Mytilus edulis: one gene and its partner. The protein of the gene in region 1 purifies or fractionates together with the protein of each later gene. This does not show direct contact. Links are inferred from orthologs where the notes say so. Each region holds a gene or a part of one and is shown in the gene's direction. Other genes may lie near its edges.

What was found. The genes of interacting proteins can lie anywhere in the genome.
Region 2: the proteins of 26S proteasome regulatory subunit 8 (region 1) and proteasomal ATPase-associated factor 1-like purify together in Homo sapiens (affinity purification with mass spectrometry; 7 studies listed by BioGRID and IntAct, counting the BioPlex papers as one, with this or other methods). This does not show direct contact. The link is inferred for Mytilus edulis from reciprocal best matches to the Homo sapiens genes PSMC5 and PAAF1.

The regions. Positions count from the first base shown.
Region 1 is NC_092345.1:101,529,537-101,537,496, reverse strand, and holds the start of 26S proteasome regulatory subunit 8, read left to right. Parts: upstream 1-4,855; 5' UTR 4,856-4,894; coding exon 4,895-4,945; intron 4,946-7,960. Other genes in the region: chondroitin sulfate glucuronyltransferase-like, read right to left, coding at 571-710, 1,026-1,151, 3,931-4,677.
Region 2 is NC_092353.1:17,727,094-17,734,896, forward strand, and holds the start of proteasomal ATPase-associated factor 1-like, read left to right. Parts: upstream 1-4,722; 5' UTR 4,723-4,782; coding exon 4,783-4,838; intron 4,839-7,803. UniProt on the Homo sapiens protein: Inhibits proteasome 26S assembly and proteolytic activity by impairing the association of the 19S regulatory complex with the 20S core.

The DNA.
Region 1 (7,960 bases):
GTGTTTTATGGTGTCATCTGTGTGAAGACTGATTGATTGCCTCTAGATGTGTAGTGTTTTATGGTGTCATCAGAGTGAAAACTGAATGTTTGCCTCTAGATGTGTAATGATTTTATGGTGTCATCTGTGTGAAGACTGAATATTTGCCTCTAGATGTGTAGCATTTTTTTGGTGTCATCAGTGTGAAGACTGAATGTTTGCCTCTAGATGTGTAGTGTTTTTATGGTATTTTCTGTGTGAAGACTGAATGTGTGCCTCTAGATGTGTAGTGTTTTCATGGTGTCATCAGTGTGAAGACTTACTGTTGCCTCTAGATGTGTAGTGTTTAAATGGTGTAATCTGTGTGAAGACTGGATGCACATTTACTTGCCTCTAGATGTGTAGTGTTTTTATGGTGTCATCTCTGTGTAGAGTATATTTGCCTCCAGGTGTATAGTGATTTTATGGTGTCATTGAGTTGCTGCCTGTATATTGATGTATTTTCAATATATATTTTTTATTATAATGAAAACATGGCATCATTCTGAACATATTAACTAATGTACAATGTATAAATAAGAAACAACAAACCTGTGTATCTTATACAGAGATATATCGTCTGGCATGGGATATATTGAGAATGAACTGTTAAACATGGCATCGCTACGTAAACTTGTAATGTCATCATCAAACTCAAAATCATCTACTTTATAAGATCGAAAGTTTTTATCCTAAAAAATATAAAATCTATAAATTAGACTATAAACAAGCAACCAATGAATTTGTATGACAGTTGATGTTTTAATACACAATACTGAAGTAAATGTAAGATCTCTTTCTTCATAATAAATTGTGAGGTGTATTTAATGGACCTCTGAAATGTAAATCTGCTTGCTAATGGTGATGACATGGATGAGGAGGTTGTATAATATTTACTAAAAGATGTGGTTAATTTGTCAAAATTTCTAAAGCAAAACAGGATTCAACAAAATAAGAATATGAAATATATAGAAATTCAAAGAATCTAAATTATAAACATAAATTACCCCTCCTTTCTCTGAACACTTTGAATTGGCAGTTTGTAAAATACAAGCTTCAAATGCTAGGCTTGGGTTCTGTTCTGACTTCAAAAAACAGGAATCTATTTTAGGATATACTTTTGACAAAACATTCTGAAACAGACAAATATGAATACATTTGTGAATATCATGATTTTATAATTTAAATGTTAGTATTCACAAAAACAGTGTGAAAAGTATTGCTGATTGAACAAAAATAAAAGCATTGACAAAATAGTTAGTGTGGTATCACATTCAGAACAGATATACATTGTGCACAAAACACATCCCACTTGCATCATGTGCATTGGTCACCTTTTGTGGTGATTTATTTATCAAAATGGCATGATGTTGGACATGAAATCTGCTCTGTAGTATTTCTCAGCATGTACGTAACAATATATGTATTGGTTTATCTCATTGTTGAAGGCCGTCTGTTAGCCTTTTATTGATGTCTACAGTTTTAGACGGTGCTACTTCATTTTTACTCCGTAGAATAGTTTACTCATTGGCTATCATACAACATATCCTTTATTCTACCTAAAAACAAAGCACCATAATTTTTAACTAGAGGTAGCAGTGATCTTAGGTGGCCTAAAACCAAAAGACTATTTTCATATTGTGGACTTTCGAATTTTGAGTATAGAGGTTACAGCAAGGATTTGTATAGTAAATCTTACTGTACTATATGTACAAATCATTGGTTACAGTCAAATCCCTGAAATGTATCGATCCGTGATTCAGCTGTATAATCACATTGAATCACTGAACTGATCAGTGATTTTATAAAATTCCTGATTTTGACTTTGGTCATATCTAAGATATTGTCTTATATAAATAAAATCTATCACAACATGCACAAAGTGAACAAACTTGAAATAAGTTTCTAAACTTTCTCCACAAATTAAATTAAAAGTTAACATTTGTTTAATGTAGGTATGAAGTTCTTCAATGTGGAAATGTAAAAAAATTGTAAAAAAAAACCCTGGTATTCATCAGATATGTGTAAGATGAAGATGTCAAATATTATGCTTGAGGACATGTACATTTTACAACATACATGACATACAGGACATAGTCTTGTTACCAAATTAAACATGGCAATATGTTTTAGGGGCATGTACTAGAACCAGCCCAATGAACCCATGTGCACTGATGCTCTGCTTTTGAGTCAGACAGCTGTGCATCTCAAAAGAAAGTTTCATATCTTTTCAACAAGCATTAAGAATGTCTAAACTCTACCATTTGTAAATGTTCTGAAATATCATACAGTAGTGTAAGTTTAAATGCCTATTATTCATCATGTTCATATTAATAGTTTTGACTAGTACATTGTATTATTTCATGTACAAATGTATTTATTTAAAAATATATTTCAAAATCATTGGTTTATTTGTATTAGGAAAATGCATTTCAAATGTACTGTAATCACATGTAATAGACTGTTAGTGATTTTGTAGTGATTTTACAAAATCACTAACTATTCCAAGTATTTTACAAATTCATTGTATTTTGTACAAATATACATGAACATATGTACAATGTACTTTTTCAACAAGTTTTGTTCTCTGTGGTAGGCTATTCTGGTACACAGTCAACATGGTCAAGTATGAGCAAGTAAAATAAGTTTTAAAAAAGCTTATAGTTGACGCAACTTGGGAAAAATAAGTTTTAAAAAAGCTTAAAGTTGACGCAACTTGGGAAAAAAATAAGTGTTTATCAAATTGGAAATGGAAACGGAATGTTTCTAAGTGACAAGAAAACAGCCAAAGGCGACCAAGGGATCTTCAAAACCACAAAAAAATCTTGCAACCAGACATCAGCTGGCCACTTAACAAAAATCTGTACTAATTCAATGAAAATTGATGTCACACCAAACTACTAAACATGTTTAAATTTTCTTTGAATGTAGCAAAATCATTGAAAACAGTTAATTAATCATTGTTAAGAAATGAATAATTATAGTATAACTAATCGCCGTATTTGAATATCAAAAATAAGACAACGCGTGACCGAACGACGCATGGATTAAACGAGTGCGCAGCACGAGTTTAATCCATAGCGGCGTTCTGTCACAAGTTGTCTTATTTTTGATATTCAAATACGACGATTAGTTATTCTTTTTATTACATTGGCAAATGGTTTTTTTTAATGAAATTAATGTAGAAAATGTAAGGAACTATATCTTTTTCCTACGCATTGACAATTTGTTTTGATCCGACGTTATCGACGTCTTGACAACGCCTATTGTTGTATGACGTCAGAGAGTGAAATAACCACGTTTATTTCACATGTGAAATTATCGGTTTTTATCTAACTGGGAAATCAATGTAATTCATTGCAACCAATGTAATAATTTACATTTATTCTCCAGAGTCATAAGTTAGTTACAGTAAATGAAAATAGTTTATTGTATAAATAGATAAAAAAAACAAAAACATGTCCTAGATGAAAGCAAGTTAAGTACAAGATAACAATCATGACAATATTTGTAACTAACTTTTTTTTACTTTAGGCATTGGTCCATCTGGATAAGAAATGTTCAACAGATTGTAAAAAACAATGCTTGAATGTTGTCACGAAAAAGAAGTTCCTTTTATCTAGTTCCTTCATAATATTCTGTAACATTATTTCCTTTGGAAAATTATAGAATATTTGTTCCTACAGGTGCAGGTACATGTATAATGACAAAGTTTCCAGGGGAACTTCTGTTAGGCAGAAACAAATCTTTGTTAATAATTTACATGTATTATAAACTCTTTTTGGTTGTCCTTAATTGCTATTTTGCTCAAGTTTAATCTAAAGTTACATGTACATGTATGTTTGATTTAATGTCAAAAGAATTTTTAAAGAAGTGTCTTAACTAACGTTGACTAATTGCATGTACATTTACCTGTGAAAGAATAATACCACCATCAAGTGTACACATGTCTCCTTGGTCACCTCTATGCAATATGGCTCCCATATGTACCTCTTCACTGATACTGATGTGACCAACAAGTTCATAAAGTTTTTCTCCTCTTATATAAGTACGATCAGTGATGAACAAGTAATAATCAAATGTACTTGCATAATGTTCCTTTATGTATTTAAGTGCATGTATTGGAAGTTTCTTATTGTCCTGATCAGGAAAACTAATGACTTGCATCCCAGGGGGAGGCATTCCACTTTTACCATTTGTAAAGAAAACTGTTTTAGTGACATAATGTGCAAATGTTTTGTTCAGTGCCATTCCAAATGAATTGACTGTGTGAGGAGTGGAGAGTACTCCAACAAACAGCTTTTCTCTTATACCAAGTTCAGTAGAGGCAAATCTTGGTCGAACAAATTTTTTACCATCTTTTATTTCTTCACGCTGATATTTTTGCTCATGAATGTAGAAATCATTCCCATCTGATTCAGTCTCTTGGTCATTCACTTCACCTTTTCCTGGTTCTTGTTCCTTGTTTTTAGTATCTACCTCATGGACCATCTTTGTTTCTCGTAATTTAATTAAATTTTCTGTATCCTTTGTATCTATGGGATCACACAGATCATCAAGAAATGGTGCCACCATCATGTTCAGGGCTATACCCATGCAAATCCCTATCAAAACAGGTATACATGATCTAACAAAGCTGTTCCTCCCCAACAATGACATTTCAAGAAATTGGGAAACACTAATTTGTTCTCTTGGCAATCAGAATTGTCTGGCTTATTTAAAAATTGGATACCATAATTTTAACCCACCTCTCCTAAGTTAAAGACTTTTTAAAGTACTTCAAAGTATCTCAAATTACAAGTGTCTGTGTTAAATACGTCATTGATTTATGTGTAGATCAGTTAAACGCTTTTAGACGCCGTATTTAATTGTTGTTATGAAGAGCAAATCAACCAAGATCTATAACTACTCAGCGAAAATGGATCAGGTAAATACCGACTAACGACAAATTATCGAACAATTTTTCAAAAATATAAGGAAAGCATGTTTTCCCTCTCATAACTTTGTCTTCACCAGACATTGGTAGACTTTGACCATTGCCAGTAAGCACCCCTACCAACTGAGCTAAAAGATTTCCCATCAGGCTTTCCACTTTCAGCTTTATTTTATGTGGTATAAATTATGTTATACACAATATTCTAAACAAAAGGTTTTAATTTATGTATGAATTTGGAGTTGTTCCAAATATTTTCAGACTGTTGGAATAAGCCAGCTCTAAAAATTGCTTATTCTGATTATAACTACATTGATTGCTGGGTAAATCTTTCATGACCTCAACTCAATTATCAATGGAAGCAGGACAAATATCCCCACTGCCAAATTGCACCACAGGGGGTCTCATTGGGGGTCCCGATCCCGGATCCTGCTTACTGTTTTGTCAGATTCCCGTATCCCGCTTACACTATGTATGTAAGCAATTCTCATTTTTTTGTCATTTCCCGGGTCCCGCAAGACCTCATTTCCCGATTTCACGACACAATAATTTGACTTTCACGTGTCACGCTTACAAAAAATCAGCAATCCCGCGTCACGCTTAGACCCCAATGAGACCCACCACCACACCTAGGCTAATTGCCCCACTTTTGAAAAAAAAACCTAAACTTGTTTACCAACTCGACCAACTTATTTGTAAAATCTTCAATCTTGTAAAATCACAAATAGGGCGAGTTGGGGTCAGTTAGCCCATGGCCACAGTGAGTTAGTCCTAATAACATGTTCGCCCTGAGTTCTTTCGCCCACATAGTTTGTTCGCCCTACAAAAAAATATTAATATTCAGGGCATTAAAATTGAATAAACGTATTCAGATATTACTATCTGACTGGTATATCATGATCATTGTATATATTCTTGAAATTTATGGAAACATGGAAATATTGAAAAGTTTATGGCTTGTTTAGAATCATTAATTGTTCAATGCCAAAATAATTCGGATCACTTATTATTGTGATACTTGTCTTTTGATGGATTAATAATTAAAACAAACGTTTTGTTTTGATAAAATATTCTGCTTGAAATTAATTAAAACAATGATGTACCACTGCAGTGATATTGTTTGCCTTAAATTACTGGAGAATAAAGGCTTTTCCTCTGGAGAAAAATCCCAATTTGAAAAAAAAATGGCTTTAAATTATTCCCAAAAAGACAACTTTTTTCCCAAATAGTGCAGTCTCAGTAGTATTTGTGCATGAATGCAAACAGAATACAGACTCCTTTATACATTTTCCATGCCTAAAATGATTATATGTGTAGATTTGAGGGTCCATTTATGTATCATCACTGACAATAAGGGGTCCTATTTCAAAGCAGGGTTTGACTCTTGAAAGGGGGTCTGCAAATTGAAGTTTCAGTCAAATTCATGGTTTATTCTAAATTTCCAAATTTGATAAAAATGACTCATATTTTCCCAATAGTTTTTGAAAAATGCTAACAATATCACTGGACTGTAAATCATGAAACAGATTTACTAGTTCATTTATTGTCGAGCCTTCACTTTAGTCGAAAAAGCGAGACATAGCAATGCTACATTCCGCCGGCGGCGGCAGTGGCGTCCTCAAATATTCACTCTGTGGTTAAAGTTTTTGAAATTTTAATAACTTTCTTATAGTATCCTGGATTTCTACCAAACTTGGACAGAAGCTTGTTTATGTCAGATTGTAAGATACATGTAGTATGCAGAAGTAAATTTTGTAAAAAAATTAATATTTCCATTTTTTCCATATTTTACTTTTAAATGGATTTAGATTTTCTGCCAGAAAACAACACCATGAACACATTCACTCTGGTTAAAGTTTTTAAAATTTTAATAACTTTTTTATACTATTTTGGATTTGTACTAAACTTGGACAGAAGCTTGTTTATGGTCAAAAGCTAGTATCTAGAAGAAAATAAAAAAAAATAATAAATTCATTTTTTCTGTATTTTACTGTTACATGACTTAGATTTTCTGCCAGGAAATTTCCAGTTATCATTTCATTCAGTCTGCAGTTAAAGTTTTTAAACATTTATGAGATTCATAAACTATCCTGGGATTTTACCAAACTTGGACAGAAGCTTTATTTTTACAACCAAAAGATAGTATCAAGAGGAATATTTTTATTGACTTTTTTCCTCATTTTTGTTGAGCCTGTGATTACAGCAAAAGTAGGCGAGACAATGGAACCCTTACAAATTTTTGGGATACGATTGCTTTCAAGCAATCTGTAGAGTTTTACCATTGACTCAGGTCCATGCCCTCACGTCAACCGTTTTATTCTAAACATAAAGGAACATCTCAAATTCTTAAGATTGTCTTGCTTTAAAAGATAAAAACAATCAAAAGGATTTAATTTAGACAACTTTCTTTGAATGTTCTTCTCATAATCTTCATGTTTCCATATATATTTCCCTTGATTTATACATGTATGCGTTTTTTAATACAACACAGAACATCATAATTAAGCAGTATTTATATTTAGTGTTTTTATAAATTTAGAAACGCTTTGGAGGGAATTCCCCAGTTTTGATAAAATGCAGAGTTCTCTGAATTCCGATAAATCTATTTTTATCATATAAAAACTAAATTGGAATTTTTCTTATATGTCACCGTTCTGAAACTGATATTTGATATTGTACATGTACTTCCATAAAGAAATGGAGAACCACCTAGGTCGTTTAATTAACATTTAATATATGTCCTTGCTATAAATTACAAGTATCATTGAGTATAGGGTTTGTTTAGGTAATTATGCGCATGTGTATAGTTTTCTTGACTTCAAGGGGTATCAGATTGAATGGTTTCTCTGGATTCCCAACTCCATTGATTAATTTGAAACTCTTGAGATCCTTTCTATGTCTGTCTGCTATTGAGGGTTATTGTTGTTGCATAATTTTAAATCATATGTATCAAATAAATTAAGATAAATATAGTCCACGACGTAAAGGTGTAACTAGAACACCCCTTCA
Region 2 (7,803 bases), on another chromosome or scaffold:
TTTGGTGACTGTTTTATATCTATAAGAATAAGCTCCATTTAGTTCTTTGCAAGTTTCTGATCTAACATTGAGGAGAAATGGAACTTTATTCGTTGGAAAAGTGACCGGCGTATCATGCGCTCATGCCGCAGCTCTTCATTCTTCTGGGTTTGATTCTGTCTGTTGTAAGTTTTTTTGGTTCCTTTTGAATCTTCTCCTATTTTGTAGTACTAATAATTCCGTTACTAGCATTTTCCTCGTAAATAAATCGCTGGTACTGGTAAAACAGTATAATGATGACCGTGGATTAAAAAATTTAGTATTTTTACTGATACGACGTAACAGCTTGTCAAATACCTAGTTAATCAAAATCAATAGAAACAAAATGTTAGTCTACGGCATGAAAAAGACTATCCAAACAAATGACTCTACATTAAAATAAAGTTCAAACTGTTTAAATATTTTTTTTATTTATTTAAATCAAGTATTTTTATAGTAAGACTATACAAATCCTTGTTTAAATACTGTATGATCGGTGGACTATCAATTCTAGGTACTTATTCTGATAGGTTGTTTTTAGTCTTTCAAAAGGTTTCGAACATAAACGGATTCATTATTGACACGATATGTCAGTATAATGATCGCATTTGAAATAGTCAAAGAGATTTTCCTAATTGATTGTGTCAAACAATTGTGGCAAATTCTCCAAAATCACTTGTTAAAATGATCGGTTGTATCTTTTATTTACAGCTAGAACTGTTTGTAATGACAGTTACTCATCAATAAATACAATAACCCCATCCAACAACCCTGTTAAAGACAAGACAAGTTAATAAAACAAAAGAGAATTTAGATTGATTGACTGTTTGTATAATATCCAGTGGCAACTAGTTCATGGTTGATCAAAACTATGTATGAACCCAATATGATAGTCTGGTAAAGTGGATCGTCCAGCATGCACGGAAAGTACCAACATATCGGTAATTTCCATGGGGATAACAGGTTCTTGTAAGAGATAATTATTTCATTGCAAAGAGTTATCTTCGGACCTTTTAAATATAATAAGGGTAATTTGCAGCTAGTCCGCTTGTCCCACACTGTTTAAACATACCAACAGATGTAAATTAAATGTTCACATTCCGACCAAACTTACCAGTGTACCTATACATCAAACAGGGTCAAGCAGTCATCGCTACATCAGCACCGGTATCATTATCGAACAGCGAAGTCCAATATATCTATTTAATTAACCCTTAATATCAATGAGGGGACTAGGAAAAAACAAAAGCATTGATGTTCCATTGATTGACACACAATGCAAATTATAAGATCAGTATACAAACACCTGATGACGAGATTTAACATATAGTTAAAGATTATAATCTGGTTCAGATATGACTTAAATAGAATTGAGAATGGATACGGGGAATGTGTCAAAGAGACGCAGAAAATAGCAGAATGCCACCATATGGGTTTTTAACGCAGAGAATAATCCCATATGTACCCGATGGTAGCCTTCAGCTGGCCATCTAAAGGTCCTGACTTCATCCACATCAAAATCAGCTTCTTTACTTGGATAACATTGTTCTCCATAGAATGAGGAGATATGTTTTAAAGATATGGCACGCCGTTATTATATTTATTCAATTTCGAGATATCTTATTTATTTATATAAGATATCTTATAAACTTTTAGAGATATCTTATTAACTTATAGAGATATCTTTTTAACTTATAGAGATATCTTATTTAATTGGTTATACAGATATCTTATTTAATTGGTTATAAAGATATCTTATTTAATATATAAGATATCTCCATGAGTTAATAATATATCTCTATTAGTTTATAAGATATCTCTATTAATTAATAAGATATCTTATTAATTAATAGAGATATCTTATTAACTTATAGAGATATCTTATAAACTAATGGAGATATCTTATAAACTAATAGAGATATCTTATTTACTTTCAAATTAAATAAGATATCTTATAAAAATTAAAGATATCTTAATACTTAATAAGATATCTTGTTAAATAAATAAGATATCTTCAAATTTGAATAAATATAAAAACGGCGTGCCATATAAAGATGTGTCAATCCGATAAACAGTTGACGATATGACAGTCATGAACATATGTATAAAGATGTGTCAATCCAATAAACAGTTGACGATATGACAGTCATGAACATATGTATAAAGATGTGTCAATCCAATAAACAGTTGACGATATGACAGTCATGAACATATGTATAAAGAAAAGCCGTAATTTATAAAGAAAGGTTTAACTTAATTTCTAAATAAATAAAATTACATATTGCATGTGTTTACAACACATATAGGCTAAGTTTTTGCAAACCGATAGGGAAAATACCTTTATCAAAGATCAATATATAAACAAACAAATACACATTGTTTGCAGTTTAAACCAACATCTATTCATGAGAAATAAAGCTGTTTTGTTTGATCGTTTTTTCAATGATTACATTATTCATATGTGTATACATAATGTTATTTACTGTTATTGAAATTTCGAATACAATATTTAAATCATCAATTACATACAATGTTGGTATAGTTCGTTGAAGGGTTAAAAGGTGTGGCACATGTCTGATAATAGGTTCTATCGAAGTATGACAATAAAATTACACTTCATGACATATTTTATTTACATGTAAACAAGAGAGTCCCAAAAGACTTTATGATTCGCTAAATTTATGTACCTACCCTTACAAGTTCACCATTATCACAATATTTGGCACCACGACCGAGTAGTTTACGTTCTTAAAACACTGATATGATTGAAAGAAAGTTTGGTTATTTACACAGGGAAACTAGAGGTCGCCATACGATTTTCATCTATACAATGTCCACATCTTTTATAGCCTCTAAGGCCAGGTCCGCTAATCTAGAAAGTTGAGAATAAATTTAACCGAGATTATCTAAGTTCTAATAAGTTTAAACATCAAATTATGGAGACGTATTATTAAGGTTGGTCTATCGTACAACATGAAAGATTAACCAGGTTCGGTTCTTATATATGAGGAGTCACTGTGGCTTAAAACAGTGTTTATGTAGAACTTAAACCCACTCAAATCTTAAATTCGATCGGTGGAGTTAAAATAAAAGAAAACAAAGAAAAATACAATTGTAACATGCAATTCAGAAATACTACTTGTTTTTCGTTTGTTTTTTTGGGGAAACTAAAAAAACGTAAATAAAAAATCAAGGAGTTATCCATCCCAACCTAAATTATCAATAATACGTCCACCCTTCCACCCCGTAAAAAAAGAAAATTTGATAAATAAGGAATAACTCATTAGAAAAATTAACAGACTACATTTATTTAAAAAGATTGGAATTAACTGAATAACAATAACATAGAGAAACAAAGACATTGATTTAAAATCAGACACGAAAAGCCTATTATAATTGGACATATCTAAAGAACATCGTATGGTATGACAAGTATTTAGACAATACAAAAACATACCAGAAAAAGTTTAAGAATTATATGAGGAATATAAAAAATGACAGCTCATGAGTTGCACAGTTGAGATCTGTTAAAATTCGACACAAAACAAAAAATCAAAACTTGATATTTAACAAGCAACTTCACTCTGCTTTTATATCGGAATAATTATGAAAAGGAACATTTACCAGCTCGTGTTTCAGACAACTACCCATTTATGTCAGAAATACAAGTAGAAGACAAGTATAATGGCTAAAAAAACTTCTCAAAATTCGGACAAATCAATACATGCAAACCCAAGCAAGTAAATTCATGCAGACCTGTCTCAGCCTCTAAATTGGATATGCTGCAAACTAATAGAACATATTGTGGAACAGGCACTTTTTTCATTTCAACTAAAGATCACTTGAAGAACCAACGAAAATAGGGGTGGGTGGGGGAGGGGGGGGGTATGACCTTTATCGGGACTCCGGGATCGGGTGTTTTTAAGCTCGTGATTTGGGGATTGACCCTTTCGGGATCCGGGAATTTCTTTATTCGAATTTCGGGACATCGGGATTTCGTTTTTTTAAGCCCGGGATTTTTGGATTTCGTGTTTTTAAGCACGGGATTTCGACCCCTCCTATCCGGACCCCTCAAAATAGCTACTACGTCAGTTTACACATTTTTTAAATGTTTGAATGTCATTTGTCATTTTAACTGAGTATAGGCTACATGAACCAGAATATTTATAACCCCCCCCCCCCCCCCATTTATTTTTGCATGGTTTTGTTTAACAGAATGAATTTGTTGGCTTATGCTGCAACATAGTATTTTTCTTTACAAAAAAGCATTAAACGTCCAAATCCACCCATCCCACCATCATAAATAAGATAATGATACTATTACACTAAGAAATCTAGACTACCCTGAGGCACTTGTTTATATCCATGGAAGGTCGACTATCCATATATAAGTTTAGTCGAATATATGGATAGTAGGCCTTCCCATGGATAGAAACACTTGTCTGTGTCTGTGATCTATAGATCGCAGTTTTTCAAGTTCTGAAAACAATGTTAATGCTTATGTTTTAATTTCATTTTTGCACAAATCTAATTTGTTGATTTCACTTTTTAAATTATATGTGTAATCAAATGTAATTTCAAAGTTATTCATCCACATAATAAAATAGGTTTACACATAGCCTATAAACGGTGATAAGCCTGCTTTTGTTGTGTTCCTTTTAACGGAGGAATATACGAACGATGTATTCATTTAATCATCAAGATAATGTTGGCGTCGATCCCCGTTCTTTTAGAGCTCCTGTTACAACCAAAGACCAAACAGCTATGGTGTCCAGAAGTGGAAGAATAATCTTACAAGCTGATTGGAATCATGTTTTAAAGTCAATATTCATTTTCATTCTTTGTTATGTATATACTTTTGTTTACCAATCGTTTTATTTATGTCACCACACAATGCATGTTTATAACAGAGACATATATATGTCTGTTCATAATCATACATGTAGACTGTAGTCCCAAGAACAAACATTTTAAGATCTAAGTCCACAGGCACTTGTTTTCTATCCATGGCAAGATCTACTATCCCCATTTGCCAAGTAAGTCAAATGATGGATGGGAACTGTGCCGGCGGGGATACGTCTCCCTGGTACCGCCACAGAAGCCGGATTGGTTCAGGCCAGATGAATGAAAAGCAAATGGTAACCCCCTTTTTTTATACATTGCTTTATTAGGCCAAATAAAAAAGTATGTGTGGTTCCAGTTACATCTGAAAAAAAGTTAGGGTAGGTAGGTGTAGGTAGGGATTTTTTTTTATTTTATGTTTTTTTTTTTACATTGAGTCTATGGGAGCAACATTCTGACTTTAACAGTGCTTAATGAAAAATGACAATAAAATCTTTAGGGTAGGCTATTTTTCAGCCAAAAAAGTAGGGACGGTAGGGTTACTGGAACCACACATATATTTTTATTTGGCCTTATTACTTTTTTTTTTTTTTCTGTCATACTTTATACTCGCTTGTATATTCTTTAGTTATCTTACAAAATTACTCTTTTTCTTGCACCAACCAGAAGCGTTGAGTATTGGTCAAGTTTGACAGATCAACGTAGAATGTAGATGTAGGTATTAGTAATTATATATAGGGATAGCAGATCTTGACATGGATAGAAAACAAGTGCCTGTGTCTGAGTCTTAGAACTCTACTTGTCTCTATAGAAACTAGTAGATTTCTAGTCCAAATATTTATAACATATTGTTAGACTTTTGTTTTTCTGCTTTAAAGTAATAGAAAAAAACCTTAGCAGACTTCATGTTAATCTGGACAAATATGTGGCCCTGTAATGCATTGAATCTGGATCTTTTCACCCAAAATCATGTTTGCTCCAATTCATAATTATAAAAGCCTTTAAAGGTTTCATCCTACGCATTTACATCATTTTATACTGCAACTACGTAGTTGTGTTTATTTCCTAAATATAGTAAGACAGTCATATATTTTGTGCAATGTCAATTTCACCATGGAATACTTTTTCCACATTAAGGGGTTCATTAAGGATGAAAATAAGTTTGATATTTATGTAACAATTTAAAAAGCTATCAATTTATAAATTTAAGTTGCAGTATAAAAACCATATTAGGTCAATGTCATTAAAAATATAAACATTTGTGTATTCAGCACAAAACTGGGGATGGGCTCGATAGAACCTCACACTTCCCCAGTTTCTCTGCCTCATACAAAAAAGTTTATATTTTTAGCTCACCTGGCCCAAAGGGCCAAGTGAGCTTTTCTCATCACTTGGCATCCGTTGTCATCATCGTCAATCGTCGTTAGCTTTTACAAAAATCTTCTCCTCTGAAACTACTGGGCCAAATTGAACCAAACTTGGCCACAATCATCATTGGGGTATCTAGTTTGAAAAATGTGTGGCGTGACCCGGAAATAAAATAGAAAATAGGGGTAAAATGCAGTTTTTGGCTTATAACTCAAAAACCAAAGCAATTAGAGGAAATCTGACTGGGGTAAAAATGTTTATCAGGTCAAGATCTATCTGCCCTGAAATTTTCAGATGACGAGAGATAAACTGTAAACAGCAACAATGTTCAGCAAAGTTAGATTTACAAATAAGTCAACATGACCAAAATGGTCAGTTGACCCCTTTAGGAGTTATTGCCCTTTATAGTCAATTTTTAACCATTTTTCATAAATCTAAGTAATCTTTTACAAAAATCTTCTCCTCTGAAACTACTGGGCCAAATAAATCCAAACTTGGCCACAATCATCTTTGGGCTATCTAGTTTAAAATATGTGTGGTGTGACCCGGTCAACCAACCAAGATGGCCGCCACGGCTAAAAATAGAACATAGGGGTAAAATGCAGTTTTTGGCTTATAACTCAAAAACCAAAATATTTAGAGGAAATAAGACATGGGGGGGGGGGAGTAAAATGTTTATCAGGTCAAGATCTATCTGCCCTGAAATTTTCAGATGAATCAGTCTACCCGTTGTTGGGTTGCTGCCCCTGAATTGGTAGTTTTGAGGAAATTTTACTGTTTTTGTTTATTATCTTGAATATTATTATAGATAGAGATAAACTGTAAACAGCATTAATGTTCATCAAAGTAAGATTTACAAATAAGCAAATGACCGAAATGGTCAGTTGACCCCTTTAGGAGTTATTGCCCTTTATAGTCATTTTAACCATTTTTCGTAAATCTTAGTTATCTTTTACAAAAATCTTCTCCTCTGAAACTACTGGACCAAATTAATTCAAACTTGACCACAATCATCTTTGGGGTATCTTGTTGGAAAAATGTGTCCGATGACCTGGCCATCCAACCAAGATGGCCACCACGGCTAAAAATAGAACATAGGGGTAAAATGTAGATTTTGGCTTATAACTCTGAAACCAAATCATTTAGAGCAAATCTGACAAGGAGTTAAATTGTTAATCGAGTCAATATATATCTGCCCTGAAATATTCAAATGAATTGGACAACCGGTTGTTGGGTTGCTGCCCTCCAATTCGTAATTTTTAAAGAAATTTTGCCGTTTTTGGTTATTATCTTGAATACTATTATAGATAGCGATAAACTGTGAACAGCGATAATGTTCAGCAAAGTAAGATCTACAAAATGGTCAATTGAACCCTTAAGGAGTTATTGCCCTTTATAGTCAATTTTTAACAATTTTCATTAATTTGGTAAATTTATGTAAATTTTTACCAAATATTTTTCTCTGTTACTAATGGGCAAAGTTCATTATAGATATAATTGTAAGAAGCAAGAACGTTCAGTAAAGTAAGAACTTCAAACACATCACCATCACCAAAATACAATTTTGTCATGAAT